Linked DNA regions of Cricetulus griseus. The protein of the gene in region 1 interacts with the protein of each later gene in a pairwise test. Links are inferred from orthologs where the notes say so. Each region holds a gene or a part of one and is shown in the gene's direction. Other genes may lie near its edges.

Region 1 (7,007 bases):
AGGTAGAGGCAGGTGATCTCTGTGAATTCAAGGCCAGCCTGGTCTACAGAGTGAGTTCTAGAACAGGCTCTACAGTTACACAGAGGAAACCCTGAGGGGGGGGGGGGAAAGAGGCAGGGCTGGGCATCACACAGATGGGATGGCCTTGCCAAGTATTTTAGCATCTATTCAGTTTCCTTTGTAGAGCTGAGAGGAAGGATACTATTAATGGCTATACAGCCACAACACCGTTCTGTTACAGAGCCAATGTAATGTGGACAGTGCGAGCCCTGGGTCTCCCTGCCTGCCTGCTGGCAGGCAGGGAAAAGGGCACATGTGGCACATGTCAGCACGTGTGGGTGCATATCAGCACAGGAGTCCACATCTGGGGGCATCCAGCCTTGTGTAAAGTCTGCTGTGTGCCAGCCATAGTCTCCATGCTCATGCTATTTTGTTGCTAATTTTGAGTTATGGTTTTGCTAAAGGAAATAAGTTGTCATGAGTAGGTAACACTGGTGTTGTTCCAGGGGAAATGGGAGATCTGATTTAAAATGACTGAATTAGACAGGAAGGCAAAAGAAGAAACCAGAATATATTTATTGCAACTGGGCATGAGGATTAAGTGTAATGGCCCATACCTGCTGAAGCAGGAGGACCACAGGCTCAAAGCCAGCCCAAGCTACATATTGAGTGAGTGAGTGTGTGTGTGTGTGTGTGTGTGTGTGTGTGTGTGTGTGTGTGTGTGTGTGTGTGTGTCTGTGTGTGTGTGTGTCTGTGTGTGTGTGTCTGTGTGTGTGTGTGTGTGTGTGTGTGTGTGTGTGTGTGTGTGTGTGTGTTCTGGGCTCATTATACTTACTTTTAGTTTTGTATGTTAGGGAACATGAGTTTAAGTATCTATAAACATTTATCTTTAACATTTACATCTGGTACATGCCAGCTACAGTTGACTCTGCTCTAAATATCTGTGGTCATTAACATTCACTGGCCTGTGTTAGAATAAGAGCTTTGTGATCCAGATCATATTACTCCATCCCTCTGTGCCTGAGTTGCCTGTATCTTTAAAAATGGGGAAAGAAATGGAATCTCACATGCAAAATGCTTGGAAGTTACTGGGTTATTTATCTCACAGGGACTCCATGAATCAGTGGGGAAACCAGCTGTGGAGAAATCCCAGCTGAGGGCCCAGCAGGGTGGTGGGAGAATGGAGAAAAGACTGAGGTGCATACAGGGCATACAGCATTAGCACCGCCAACTGGTGAGCAAGGCTGATCCTCCCTCCAGAATGGGAAGCTGCTAGCAGAACGAGACGGAGTGAAGAGGCGGAGTGAGGAGCTGGCCACAGAGAAAGATGCTTTGAAGGTGCAGCATTTATTTGTCCAGGCCTGAGGACCAACCGTTCACCTCCTGCACCCAAGTCAGCACTGCAGCTGCTGAAACCAGGGTCCTGCGCCAGAGTCCACATGGCTTAGGGCTGCCCAGGCAGCTCAGCTAGAGTCCCCTTCAGAGCAGCTGATAGCCATAGCTGTCACTGGAGGCTGAGGGGAGGCCTGGCCAGGACCTGGTAGGGGCAGTAGGAGGCTGAAGGGAGATGTGGGGGCTGCTGGGAGGCTGGGTGAAGAGATAAATAGGCTCCTTCCTCGGCAGCGGCAGCTCTGTGAGTGCGAACAACTCATTTGCCAGCGTGAAGCAGTCCTCTCAGAGGTGAGGGACAGGGAGGGGACAGACCTACCCTTAGCATGCCTTCCTAGCCCCTGCCTTGTGTGGCAGGAGCCCACCCAGCTCTGAGCCCTGGACAAACAGCCCAGATAGGCCTTCTCAGGTCAGTGTGGCCTGCAGGGTCTGGAAGCAACTCTTCTCCAAGCTTTCCCAACTCAGCCAGCTCCCAATTTAGCAGCCTCCTGTCTTAGGGGACTGAACCCCAGCTCTGTGTTCCCCAGCGTACCCGCCATGCAGAAAGTCTGGCCCAGAGTCTAGAGGAGTACAGAACCACTACCCAGGTAATGAGTGCCCATGGCACCTCTAATGCCCATCTTCCTTTGTGGGGTCTCATCTGCTGCTCCCCTCCCCAGTAGACCACTGCTGCTCTCTCTTTTCACTCTCCACCCCTTCCTACCTCACTTTGTATCCCACAGTACTCACCTCTCTGGGGGCTCCTGTCCCCTGCCTCAGCAGAGTCTGCCACCTTAGAAGAGTTGACTCTGCTTTTGCCATGTCCCTGGCTGTGCCTTGTGCTCTGGGTCTCTGTGCTGTCTTAGTCTTTGTGAGTTTCTGCCGCTGCTTCTTCATCCTGGCCCCTTGGCAGTTTGTGTCTGGGAAGAGGAGTCCAAAGTATGTGGGGCTCCACCAGGGCCCATGCTCTGCCTTCTTGCAGGAACTAAGGCAAGAAATCTCGAACCTAGAGGAGCAGTTGAGTCTGAGCCAGGAGGGCCCAGAAGAGTGAGTGGCTGGATAGTCAGGAGGGGGACAGGGAAGGGGAGGATCAAGAAAGAGGCAGGGGAGGGCCGGGCCACAGGATGAAGGCTGCAGAATGCGGTTCAAAAGATAGGCCTCCCCTCTGTGACCAGGCTACTGCAAGGGGCTGAGGCAGGAAGAGTAGGCTGGATCATGGCACTGCCCCCATCTCTGGACTTGGAGATCCAGGCTATCCGGCAGGTAGGCTCTGCTTCCATGGAATGTTCCGGAGGACACCAAGACAGAAACTCCATGTGTCCCTATGCAGACCCTCAGTCCCAGAGGCCTGGGTACTTGGCACTTGGTGACTCCAGCTCTCACACACTGCTGCCAGAGCATCACCTCCTAGTCATCTGCCCCCCTCCAGCCTGCTTGCTCTGCCTCAACCCCAGCCCCGAAAAGCCCCCCTGTGGCCATGTCCCCTAACATCCCCTACCAATCTGTGGTGTCTTTACCAGTGTCCTCCTTCCTGTCCCATACCATCCCACCTGTCAGTTTGCTCCAGCTCTTCCACCTCTACCCTGCCTCAGGCCCAACCTTGCCCTGGGCCTCCCAAGTTCACATGCAGCCTCTGTTTCCAGGAGAGGGATGCATCAGGTGTTGGCCTCTCCAGTCCTCTGTGTGGAGTGTGGCAGTGGGAGGAGGCTGAGTTTCCCTCTGAGGATCCTGCTAGGGAACAGGTGAGGAGAGGGGTCTCTGAATCACAGAAGTACGTCCAGAGGCCCCCACAAGGATCTCAGGGTCCCATTGACCCCCCTCAGCCCTATTGCTGTGTTGTCTACTCCCTGAGCTTATCAGAGAGCCTGCTGCCTGCTAAGGGTGCAGCCCCAGCCAACAGGGCACACCCCTGCCCTCAAGGGATGGGCAAACTCAAGCTGCCCTGGAGAAATCCTGTCATGATCCCTTATTTACAATTGTGCACATTGGGGAATACATTGAGTATCTTTGAGAGAAGCTGCTAGGCAGTGGTGGCACATGTCCTTAGTGATAACGCTTGGGAGGCAGACATCTTAGAGAACATCTAGGGCTACAAGAGCAGCCAAGTGCACAGACCTGGAGGTCACCAATTACTAAAAACTGTTGGGATGGATCTCACACTGCAGTTCTAGAACTGGGAAGGCTGAAGACAGGAGGCTTACCATGAATTTGAGACCAGCCTGAGCTATAGAATTAGACCCAAAAGAGAGAGAGAGAGGGAGGGAAGGAGGGAGGGAAGAGAGAGATTGATTTGGGACAAGGTGGCCACACAGCTATGTCTCAGCTCCTAGGAATTAGAAGCAGGAGGAGTTCAAGGCCATGCTTTGCTACTTAGTGAGCTCATACCAGCTCAAGCAACATGAGGCAGTGAGCAAAACAAAATAACAAGTGTCAGGTTAGTGGAGTTGGTAACTGAGGTCACAGGCACAAAGAACACATCTCTGGCTCTGGGCCTCTTAGAGGAGCAGGGAACATCCTGAGACCCCCAGAAGGAAGTGGAGAGAAAGTAGTGAGCTCCCTCCTGGCACAGGCTGGTAGATGGGGGCACCCTGTAAGTATTGATCTCTAGTCCTCAAAAGGAGCTAGGTAGACTCACCAGAACCCATGGCATATGTGGCTTTCCCTGGGTGCTGAGGGAGCCCCACGGAAAGCACAGAAGCTTGTATCCCTGTGGCCATCCACTTCAGTCTGGACCTCAGGCAGAATGTGCCTGGCTGGAGCTGGGTCAGAAGCTCAGAGAGAGTCAAGGAGACCAAACTTTGATGTTCTGCAGAGAAACTTCCAGAGAGAGCCAGTGTATGCTCTAGAAGGAAGAACAGCATCTCTAAGGTAAGGGAGTAGGTTGATGGAGCCCTCCCTCTCTCAGCCACAAGTGATATGGGCTCTGGCTGTTAGAGAATAAGGGCTATGGCACCCTGAAAGAGTCAGCATACATCTCCTCCATTCTTCAATCTGTGGCTGCTCAGAGCTCTGGGCCTGACCCTGCTCTCAGCATATCCTTACCCTGGCAACTCCAACAAGAGGTGGGCACCTGGACCCAGGGAGACTTTTAGGGGCTTTTGGGGGACACCCCAAGCACCAGGCTGGATAGTACGGGTTTGCAATTTTTACCCTACAGGGAGCCAGAGATTCAGGAACAAGGCTGATAGGGGCCTTGAGAGCTCCCAGGCATGGAAGACCCTGCAGGCTCTAAAACCAGTCTTGAGTACCCATTCCATGAGGGGCTGGTATGATCCTCCATGGATCCCGGAGTCCAGCTCTGTGACTGATGGGGGTGTGTTTTGAGGCCTTACTCAGGCTTTGAGTAAGGATGGAAAGCGCTGGATGTCTGGTCACAGCGCCCTCTGCTTCCTGTGGTGCCCCCCTTCTCCAGACTACTGCTGTCACAGCTAATGAGGCCCCTACACAACCTCTAATTGGACTTGCCTGGGCAGAGCTGAGATTGGACTGCCTGGGTGCTCTGAGCAGTGTGACCTCCTCCTACGTCAGCAGGATGGAAGGAGGAAGGGTGGGACACCCAGCCCACTTTCCTCTAGGAAGCAGAGGACTTGGGGGATGACAAACACTGGGGCCCCACCTCAAGGGGATGGGGACTCAACAGCTTACAACCCAGGGGAATTGTAAGGGGTTCACACAGCCGTGTATAGTGGGACTGGGCTGGGAGCAGCTGTGTTTGAGACTGCTGGCTTGATGGCAGCTGCAAGGCTAGATCCCTGATCCTCAGGCATAGGCTGTTGTCATGGATACCAGGGCCTCCAAAACTGTGTCTTTGAAGCATAGGCTTGGGGAAACATGGGCTAGCATACCTAGAGAGGTGATTTGGACACAGGAAAGCCCAAATAGTGAGGTTTGGGGGCTGAGAGAGGGGAGTTGTATTCCCAGTCTCTAACAAACCTGAATGACTAAGGCTAAAGAATGGCATCATACCCCCAACAGTGGTGCCAGAGTCTACATACCCTGGAGTCTGTGGTATGTGGAAGCAGGGAGCCTTGTTTCTGCCTGAGGCACAGCTAGGAAGCCTAGGTCAAGGCTTCTGAGCCTTTTGGGGTCACAGGCTCCCAAGAGTTGATTTTGCTCAGTTTCTGGGAAGCATGCATAGGAGATGCCAGCAGACCCTGAGCTCCACTGTATCTTCCAGTGGGAGAGAGAACTAGGGAGGTGGGGAGTCAGTGATGGTGTTTGCTCTAGGTTGTCCAGAAGACAGGAAGAAGAGGAAGAAGAGGAGGCGAGCTGGGTCCTGGTAGGCACCCTAGCACCCTTCCTAGCCCTAGAAGCTGAGGGACTAATCCCAGCCCCTTCCCGAAGCTTGAACTCCTTGGGAACAGACAGAAAAATCATTTGGTCAGGAGATAACAAGGCCCTTGGTGCAGCTAATGAGAAGTGGGGGTAGGAGTGGGGGGGGGCTGGAGGCAGTTGGCAGCCAGGATGTTCCCCAGGACCCCAGCCTTATACATGCAGGCTGCAGTCTTCACATCCTGAGCCTGGAGCTTCAGAGGTGGCTACACTCCCAAGTGCATCACTAACTCCCACACTCCCACTCACCAAAGAACTGGTGGCCTCAGTGAGTGACCAAACTGCTTGGGCCTGGACTCTTCCACCCTTGTCTGTGGTGAGACAAGCTTGAGGTCTCAAGGGAAGTTAAAGGAACTTGATGGGAGATGAGTCCAGAGTCTGCTGAGGAGTATAGGGCAGGCTCTGGAGCCCTCACCTGCCTTGCCACACTTAGACACCTTCAGTGAGGAAGTCCAGCTCTTTCTTTCTGCTCTCAATTCTGGGCCAGCCAATATGGGTGCAGGACCTAGCAGTTGGGAGTGATATGCTAGTTGGTTTGTCATCACCATGGTCATTGTATTTGGGGCAGATGTGGACATGTGAAGCCCTGACTGGCACTGGGAGACAGCTCAGCCACAACCTATGTGCCCAGCATAGGGACCGATGGCACCTATAAACCATTGCTAGAAACCTACAGAGTCAGTTGGGAGCGGGAGGGGGCAGTGCTCAAAAGCTCTCACCCTATTGACTCTCATGTGGGCTCTGTTCAAGCTCTGCCTCCTTTCCCCATTCAGTCAGCCCTGTGAAAGGGAGGGCTGTTGTCATCTCTGACCAGGGACATGTGGCCTCATCTGTGTAGTCTGCATCCAGGGTACTGACCAGAAACTCTGTGCAGATTGAGTAAATGGATATGTTCTGTCCTTTTTCCTGCTAGGTTGACCCCTCCACCCCTCTGGGAACCCCTCACCATGAGCTTGCCCCAAGAAGCTCTCCTGAGAGGTAAAGGGACACATGGGAACTGGAAAGGGACTTAGGACATACCAGGCCTAGCAATAATGCCCTTCCCATCTGCCTTCCAGTTGTCAAGATGTGCCAGAGGTGCAACAAGCTCTCATGCCTGTGGTGAGAGATGTGGTGCCAGTGGAGAGGCCCTGGGCCCAGCACTGCCTGTGCCCCCAGCACTCCCCAGGGCTCAGGTGTGCCCCTCAGGTGTCTCCTGGGGTGATTGGGGGGTGCCACCTGTTGGGGAGACCAATCTTCCTGGGGCCACCTTCAGCCTCTCCTGCCTCCCCCTCCAGAGTCAGCCAGCACCTTCTGGTCCCCAAACC
Region 2 (7,007 bases), on another chromosome or scaffold:
AGGGTGTGGGGGGTTGTAAGCTGCATTGTGCTTGCTGGGAACCAAACCCGTTCTCTTCAAGAGCAGCAAGTGCCTAACCATTGAACCATCTCTCCAGACCCCAAAACTGTCGTTTTATACATCATCTCAATAACTTCTGGAATAGCCTTTAGTCATTATTCTGTGCATTAGCTTCATTGCTATGTATAGAACTGCCACAGATTTAGTGACTTAATTCAATAAATAAATAATAACCCTAAAAATAACTTATGTGTATGGGTGTTTTACCTGTTTGTATGTCTGTGTGTCTGCCTGGTTCCCTGAGGAGACCAGACGAGAGTGTCAACCTTTGGAACTGAAGGTTGTGAACCACCATGTGGTTGCTAGGAATCAAACCCAGGTCCTCTGGAAGAGCAGTCAGTTCTCTTAACCACTGAGCCATCTCTCCAGACTCTGGGGCTTTTTGTTGGTTTGGTTTTTTTTCAAATGTGTGGGGGGGGGGCATGCACATTTGTGTGTATGGGTGTGCATGCATATGGAGACCAGAGGTCAACCTTAGGTCTGATTTCTCAGGAATCAACCACCTGTTTTTTCAGGCAGTCTCCATAAAGCCCTGGAGATCTTCCTGTCTCTGTCTCTGTCTCCCAGCACTGGAATTACAAGTACACATCATTGTGCCTGGCTTTTTACGTGGTACTGTTGCTTTTAAAGTCCTGTCTTAAACTCCTGGCCACCTTTTATCTCCTGATATCTTACATTTTGGAGGAGTTATGTTGCCTTGGTGTCTGGTGTTCTTGAGACTTATGCCTCAGGAATTGAGCCATTGGTGGAATTTATTTAGTGGGCTGGAGAAATGGCCAGGGGTTAAGAGTACTTACTGCTCTTCCAAAGGATCTGAGTTAGTTCCCAGCACCCACATGGTGGCTTCCAACCATTTATAATACTAGTTCCAGAGCATCTAATGCCCTCTTCTGGTTTCTAAGGGCATTGTATGCACATGGTACACATATATGCAGGCAAAACACTCATACAACTAAAGTTCAAAAAGAGAATTGTTATTAAAAACATCTTTATTCTGTCAGAAGTGTTTACAATGTCCAAGAGGGCCTAGGCTGTTCTAGTGTTAAGGTATTGTTTTCCTCTGCTAGATCAGGACATCCAGCTTTATCCCATTGCTCCCCTGGAATTAGAATATTGTCTGCACAAACAGTATCAAAGAGTAAGCCTACTATGAAGTACAGTAATAGCCAAGTAAGCATCAGTCATTTTAGGAAGTAATGGAACATTGTGCATAGGGGGAAAAACTTAGGGTGAAACATGTGATTTAGTTCTGGGTTGGCAGAGAAAAAGTAGGGAGGAAATATACAAAGAAGAAATGGTAGGGCAGGGGTTAGGCCCTCCCGTTGAGGTAAACTGAAAAGAGAAAGGTTAAGAAACACAATCATTGCCAAGCGTTGGTGGCACATGCCTTTAATCCCAGCACTCAGGAGGCAGAGGCAGTCGGATCTCTGTGAGTTTGAGACCAGCCTGGTCTACAGAGCAAGTTCCAGGACAGCCTTCAAAGTCACAGAGAAACCCTGTCTCAAAAAATCAAAAAACAAACAAACAAAAAAAGCACAATCATATAACCAAGAACAGTCCCAGCTTTCAGGAGAAGGCCCTGTAGACCTGGCCAGTGTGTGTTCTTTGGGAGAGAGGAGGAGAACAGGACAGAGCAGGCTAAATTAACACCAGGTGTTAGAGAGCAGTGTGTTGTGGGGAAGGGGTGTAAAGAAAAGTATGAAAACAATCTGGCCTTTGGTTGGCTTGCTGATTCAGTGTTGAGTTTGAGTCTCTCTGAGATCCTTCCCAGGTTCCCAGAAGTCAGTCTTTGGGAGCTAGTGTTACAATCATGGTCTGAGCAGCGTCTCACAGGTGGAGTCTCAGGTGCAAGTGCTGGGCCTGCCCTGTGTGATCCCTGCATCATCAGCACACTGCTTGACATGTGTGTTTAAGTTCCCCTGCAGACTCTGGTCCCACCAAGTTTCCACACCAATGACTAATGATTCAAAGACCTTTCCCCGAAGTCTAGAAGCTTCTGAGTCACTTGCTGTGATGCTGTGTGTTTCCCAAGAGTGCAGTCCATAAAAGGGGGCCCTTTTGAAATGGTGTTTACAGCTAGCTGTTCTAGCAGTGCCAGTGAAAGCCTGGCATCTCAGCACCTGCTGAAGTGTTCTTGTGTGAATCTGTCTCACTCTGCTCTTTGAAGTGTCTATTATGGAATTACTGTGGTACAGTGCAGGTCCAAGTCTCTCTCTTAAGCCCTGTCTCCTACAATCTGATGCTGACACTCCTACTAACTAATAGAGAGCTCCCAGATCAGACTCTGGATTTCTGTCTCCTGCTTTATAAAGTTCTCGATTTGCTATTACAGCTAGAAACAGTCAGGTGTCCCCTGAATCTTACATTTATTAAATACCTTTCTCCAGGTTATTCCTTGGGAGACTTGGACAGCCCATGCCTGGATGTCACCTTCTGTTGGACAGAAATTCTGCTCATCGTTCTTAAACTTAATATATAATGTTTAAGAACATTTGCTGAAGTTCTTTGGATACTCTAAAGGGTATTTAATAGACTAAATCTAATGAAAGTTTTGCCATTTAAACTGTCTCTTTGAGAAGCTCCAGATTTACTCTAGTCATCCCCTTAGTCAGCTTTGACAGTGTTCTGCAGCAGGATGGTGGCACACAGCATTGATCCTAGCACTTGGTAGGCAAGCCTGATCTACACAGAGTTTCAGGCTAATGAGAGATCCATAGTCTCAAAACAAAGACAAAAAGTAATTGTCTCCTATGCCCATAACAAATGATCTTAGCACAAACTGATACTGGTAGTCTGCTTTCAGGGTGAGGTGTCATCTTAACCATTTTGGAGGAAACTTTAATACACAAGTTGGGTTCAACAGGAAGTATGTGTGAGTTACTGTAAAGAAAATGCAGTTACTTAGAATCATGCAATTTGGGCTGAACAGGTCTTCAAACTGCCTGAATAGGTCTTCAGTCAAGAAACCCAGGTCCTTTTTTCCTCACTTACAGGATGAGGTTAATCCCTATCAGACAGGATTATCTATGAAGTATAATGAGGTGATTTGACATAATAAATGAGGTGATAGCATGTGACACCCATCTTTGTTTATTTAGTGTTCAGTTAGCATCCCCTTCCTGAGCTGGACAGTTTAAAGGGAAGCTTCTGAAACCTGAACTACACCAGTAATGTGGACGGAATGTTGGTTCCCATACTAAGACAGTACAAATGCTGGAGCACAGGTATAGATGGTAGGCTCTCTTAAGTACCAGTCTGTAGCTCAAGGTAGCAAACACCTCATAGCTTTGTTTTTACAGGGTAATATATTTGGGGAGATCTTACAGACTCTGCAGACAGACTTTCTGGTTTAAATTCCGTGTGTGTGTGTGTGTGTGTGTGTGTGTGTGTGTGTGTGTGTGTGTCTGTGTGTCTGTGTGTGTGTCTGTGTCTGTCTGTCTGTGTCTATCTGTGTGTGTGAGTGTGCAAGGGTATGGAGGGCTGAAGACAGCCCATGGAAGCCAGTTCTCTCCTTCCACTGAGTAAGTCTGTAGATTCAAACTCAGGTCATGGGTTTGGCTGGAAGCATCTTTACCCACTGATCCATCTCTCTGTGGTAGCTTCCTATAGTTTAGGAGTCAAGGCCAGTGAATGGTGCTGGGGAATTGAACCCAGGGCCTCATGCAGGCTAGGCAAGCATTGTACCTACTGAAATAGCCATAGGCACATAGTACCACCCTTTTCTTTTTCACTCACTTAGGGTCTCATAGCATAGGTTGCTGGCTCAGCCTTTCTATATAGTTGTGGATGGTATGAACTTCTGATCCTCTTGCCTCCACAGATGTGTGCTACAGGATGCTGGAGCTTGAAACCTGGGGCTGTAGGTGTATTACCCAGGTGTTCCGCTGTCTAAGCTGCATCTCCAGTCATTTCTTTTCCTATTCAAAGGATGGTGCCACATCTTCACCCCTGGTGAAAACCTGAGGACAGAGCCTCTGCCCACCATGAGTGTCACCCCAGAGGTCAAGAGTCGTGGGATGAAGTTTGCTGAAGAGCAGCTGCTAAAGCATGGATGGACTCAAGGTGTTCTAGGGCCCTTCCATATCCTCCCAACTCCCTCGTTTCCTTTGCCCCATGTCAATTCAACCATAGGAGAAACTAGTTTAAAGAGAAAACCTTAGAAGCATAAATTTCCTGATCTAGCTGGAAAAGGGGAGAATGGATGAAATTCTCATTCTTGGACAATGGAGGATATTGAGGGCAGACTGAAGGAGGAAATACAACAAAAAAAGATCATTCCAGGTCAGACGGAGGCACTTGTGAAGCAGTACGAGAAAGGATGGAGTGACATAGATTTCTGAAGGGTACACAGTATACCAGTGATCAGTGAGAGGAGTGGCAGTTGGCCCAGGAAGTCATGGTGAGGGCTCAGGGCAGGTTACAAAATAAGTCATTCACTGTCCTCTACAGGCAAGGGTCTGGGCCGCAAAGAGAATGGCATCACCCAGGCCCTCAAGGTCACACTGAAGCAAGATACCCATGGGGTAAGCCTGGGGGGGTGGGTCAGCATGAATGTGAAAGGGCACCCATGAGGGCTGGTGGGCGGTGCTCAGACTGTGACTTTCATTTATTATTCTGGAGGTGGGACACGACCCTGCCAAGGAGTTTACAGACCACTGGTGGAGTGATCTCTTCAACAAGACTGCAGCCAGCTTGGTAGTGGACACAGGGAAGGTATGAGCTTGTCAGGTACGTCTGGGATGGGGCAGGGAGGTAGAGCATGTCGCTTCCTCACTGATGCCTTCCAACAGGATGGAGTGCAGATAAGGCGCCTTTCCAAGGAGACCACCCAGCGCAGTCACCCCAAGTCCAATTTGCTGTATCAGAAGTTTGTGAAGGTACCAGAGTGAGAGGTTCAGCTCTTTACTGCTCCCCTATTTCCCCTGGGTCCTGATCGATTGCCTTGTGTGATGAACTAGTTCCCAGGATATCCTAGCATACCCAGATCCCATGTCCAACCTCGCTGTGCTTAGACTAAGGCCCATGCCCCCCTCCAGAATTGAGGTATTAAGGTTCCATGGACCCTGCCATCCGCTGCGGGGCAGCACTGAACAGTAGAGGGAGAGCCATCATTTAGTTAAGAGCTGCTGGGGTGGAAGTGTTGGTGTCTAATTTAAAAAGATTTAGAAGACAGAAGAACCCTGAAGGTTGGTTACTTAATCCATCTTTATTTTACATGTGTGCCCCAAAGTGTAGAAAATGGATTACTGAAGAACCCACAGCTGGCTAGTAAAGACAGAAAGAATAGAACCCAGGCTTCCCAGCTTTTTCACTATAGCTATAGAAAGCCAGAAGTTAGCGAGCATAGACTCTGCTCGGCGCTTCCCAAGTTATCTAGCAACCCTTCCCAGTTTCTGCATCTGTTGGCATTTACTATTTTAGTTCAGGCAGTCTTTGCCTCTAAGATACTCTGCCTCTGGTCTCATTCTGCACCATAGTCAGCTGACTCTGTTCTACAAAACATCCATAGGGTTCTTTCCAAAACACAAATTGTATCATGATCCTTTTTGTTTGTTATTGTTTTTCAAGACAGATTCTCCCTGGTTGCCCTGGAACTCACTCTGTAGACCAAGCTGGCCTCAAACTCAGAGATCCGCCTGCCTCTGCCTCTGGAGTGCTGGGTTTAAAAGTGTGCAATACCACTGTCTGGCTCCTCCCTATTTAATGAGATTGACTTGCATGGCCCTTTATGCTTCTTGTCTTACTCCCACCTGTTCTCTCTGGGGCAGAAGCAGCTCTGTTTCTTCTTCTAGAAGCTGTGTTCTCCCACCTACCCTTTCTCTGCCTTTGCCATTTACCTGCTAACATTTCTTGACTTTCAGATTGAGATTATACATAGCACCTTCTAGAAACCACTGCCCAAACCCTGGCCTGAGTTATCTATGGGACAGGCAACGTTCATCCTAACTGCCCATGTAATTACATCTGGACTGGAAACTTGACCCATCGAATTCTGTGTGTGTGTGTGTGTGTACGTGTACGTGTACACGTGTGCACGCGCATGTATACGTGTTCACATATATGAGCACTTTTGTGTGCAGGTGCTCATACATGTGTATGCATATAGAGGCCAGAGGTTGACATTAGGTATCTTTTTTTGATCTCTACCTTATATACTGAACTAAGATCTCTTACTTGAATCCGCTTGCCAATCTGTATAGTTTAGCACCTAGCTAGCTTGCTCCAGGGACCCCAGGGATTACAGGTGGGTAGCCATGCCTGCCTGACATTTATGTGGGTGCTGGGGATCTGCACTAGGTCCTCATGCTTGCACATTAAGTGTTGTTACCAGGTGAGCTGTCTCCGCACCTGGACCCATTTCATTGCCATTCTACTCTATCCTGAGCTACATGGCCCATAATAGGTTCTGTTAATCTAGTTAAACAAAAATACCAGCAATAGGAGTGCTGTCTCTATTGTCAGTTACTGGCACCTACTCCACTGTGAAAACCTAAAAGTGAAGAACACTTTTCCCTGGTTGTTCTTCAGTCAGCCTGCTGTGAGCCAGAGAAGCCCTGGCTGCTGCACTTCCCAGTAACTGTCCAAATTGAAATATACAGGCTGCATGACTCTGAAGGGAACAGTGGTGAGGGCTGTCAGATTCACCGCTTCGGCCGTGAGTTCCTAGGGGCTTCTGAAAGGGTTGGTAATGGTGTTGGGCTGGCTTTATCCATCTCCATGATCCTTTTCCTCCAGACAGCCACACTGACCTCAGGTGAAGAGAAGCCTGACAGAGAGAGCGGCAGTGATGATGACAGCCATGAGCCCACGCCTCCAAAGATGTGAGACTTTATTTTGTGCTGAGGATGTGGGAGGAGATGCTTTGGGATCTTAAGAGAATGGATGAATAAACCTAATGCTCTTCAGGGATGGGGGCGGGGGTTGTAGAATTAATTAGATTGTGCTAA

Evidence for each region. The genes of interacting proteins can lie anywhere in the genome.
Region 2: the proteins of Kash5 (region 1) and Gpatch4 interact in binary tests that used the Homo sapiens proteins (3 or more experiments, as listed by UniProt). The two-hybrid records come from large-scale screens. The link is inferred for Cricetulus griseus from reciprocal best matches to the Homo sapiens genes KASH5 and GPATCH4.

The regions. Positions count from the first base shown.
Region 1 is NC_048599.1:154,077,533-154,084,539, reverse strand, and holds part of Kash5 (protein KASH5), read left to right. Parts: intron 1-1,260; coding exon 1,261-1,338; intron 1,339-1,623; coding exon 1,624-1,680; intron 1,681-1,916; coding exon 1,917-1,976; intron 1,977-2,350; coding exon 2,351-2,415; intron 2,416-2,543; coding exon 2,544-2,631; intron 2,632-3,011; coding exon 3,012-3,110; intron 3,111-4,180; coding exon 4,181-4,236; intron 4,237-5,595; coding exon 5,596-5,647; intron 5,648-6,613; coding exon 6,614-6,678; intron 6,679-6,758; coding exon 6,759-6,875; intron 6,876-6,977; coding exon 6,978-7,007. UniProt on the Homo sapiens protein: As a component of the LINC (LInker of Nucleoskeleton and Cytoskeleton) complex, involved in the connection between the nuclear lamina and the cytoskeleton.
Region 2 is NW_023276806.1:66,418,645-66,425,651, reverse strand, and holds part of Gpatch4 (G patch domain-containing protein 4), read left to right. Parts: intron 1-3,880; exon of another isoform or gene 3,881-3,987; 5' UTR 3,988-4,043; coding exon 4,044-4,122; intron 4,123-4,509; coding exon 4,510-4,583; intron 4,584-4,680; coding exon 4,681-4,773; intron 4,774-4,850; coding exon 4,851-4,937; intron 4,938-6,498; exon of another isoform or gene 6,499-6,795; coding exon 6,796-6,881; intron 6,882-7,007.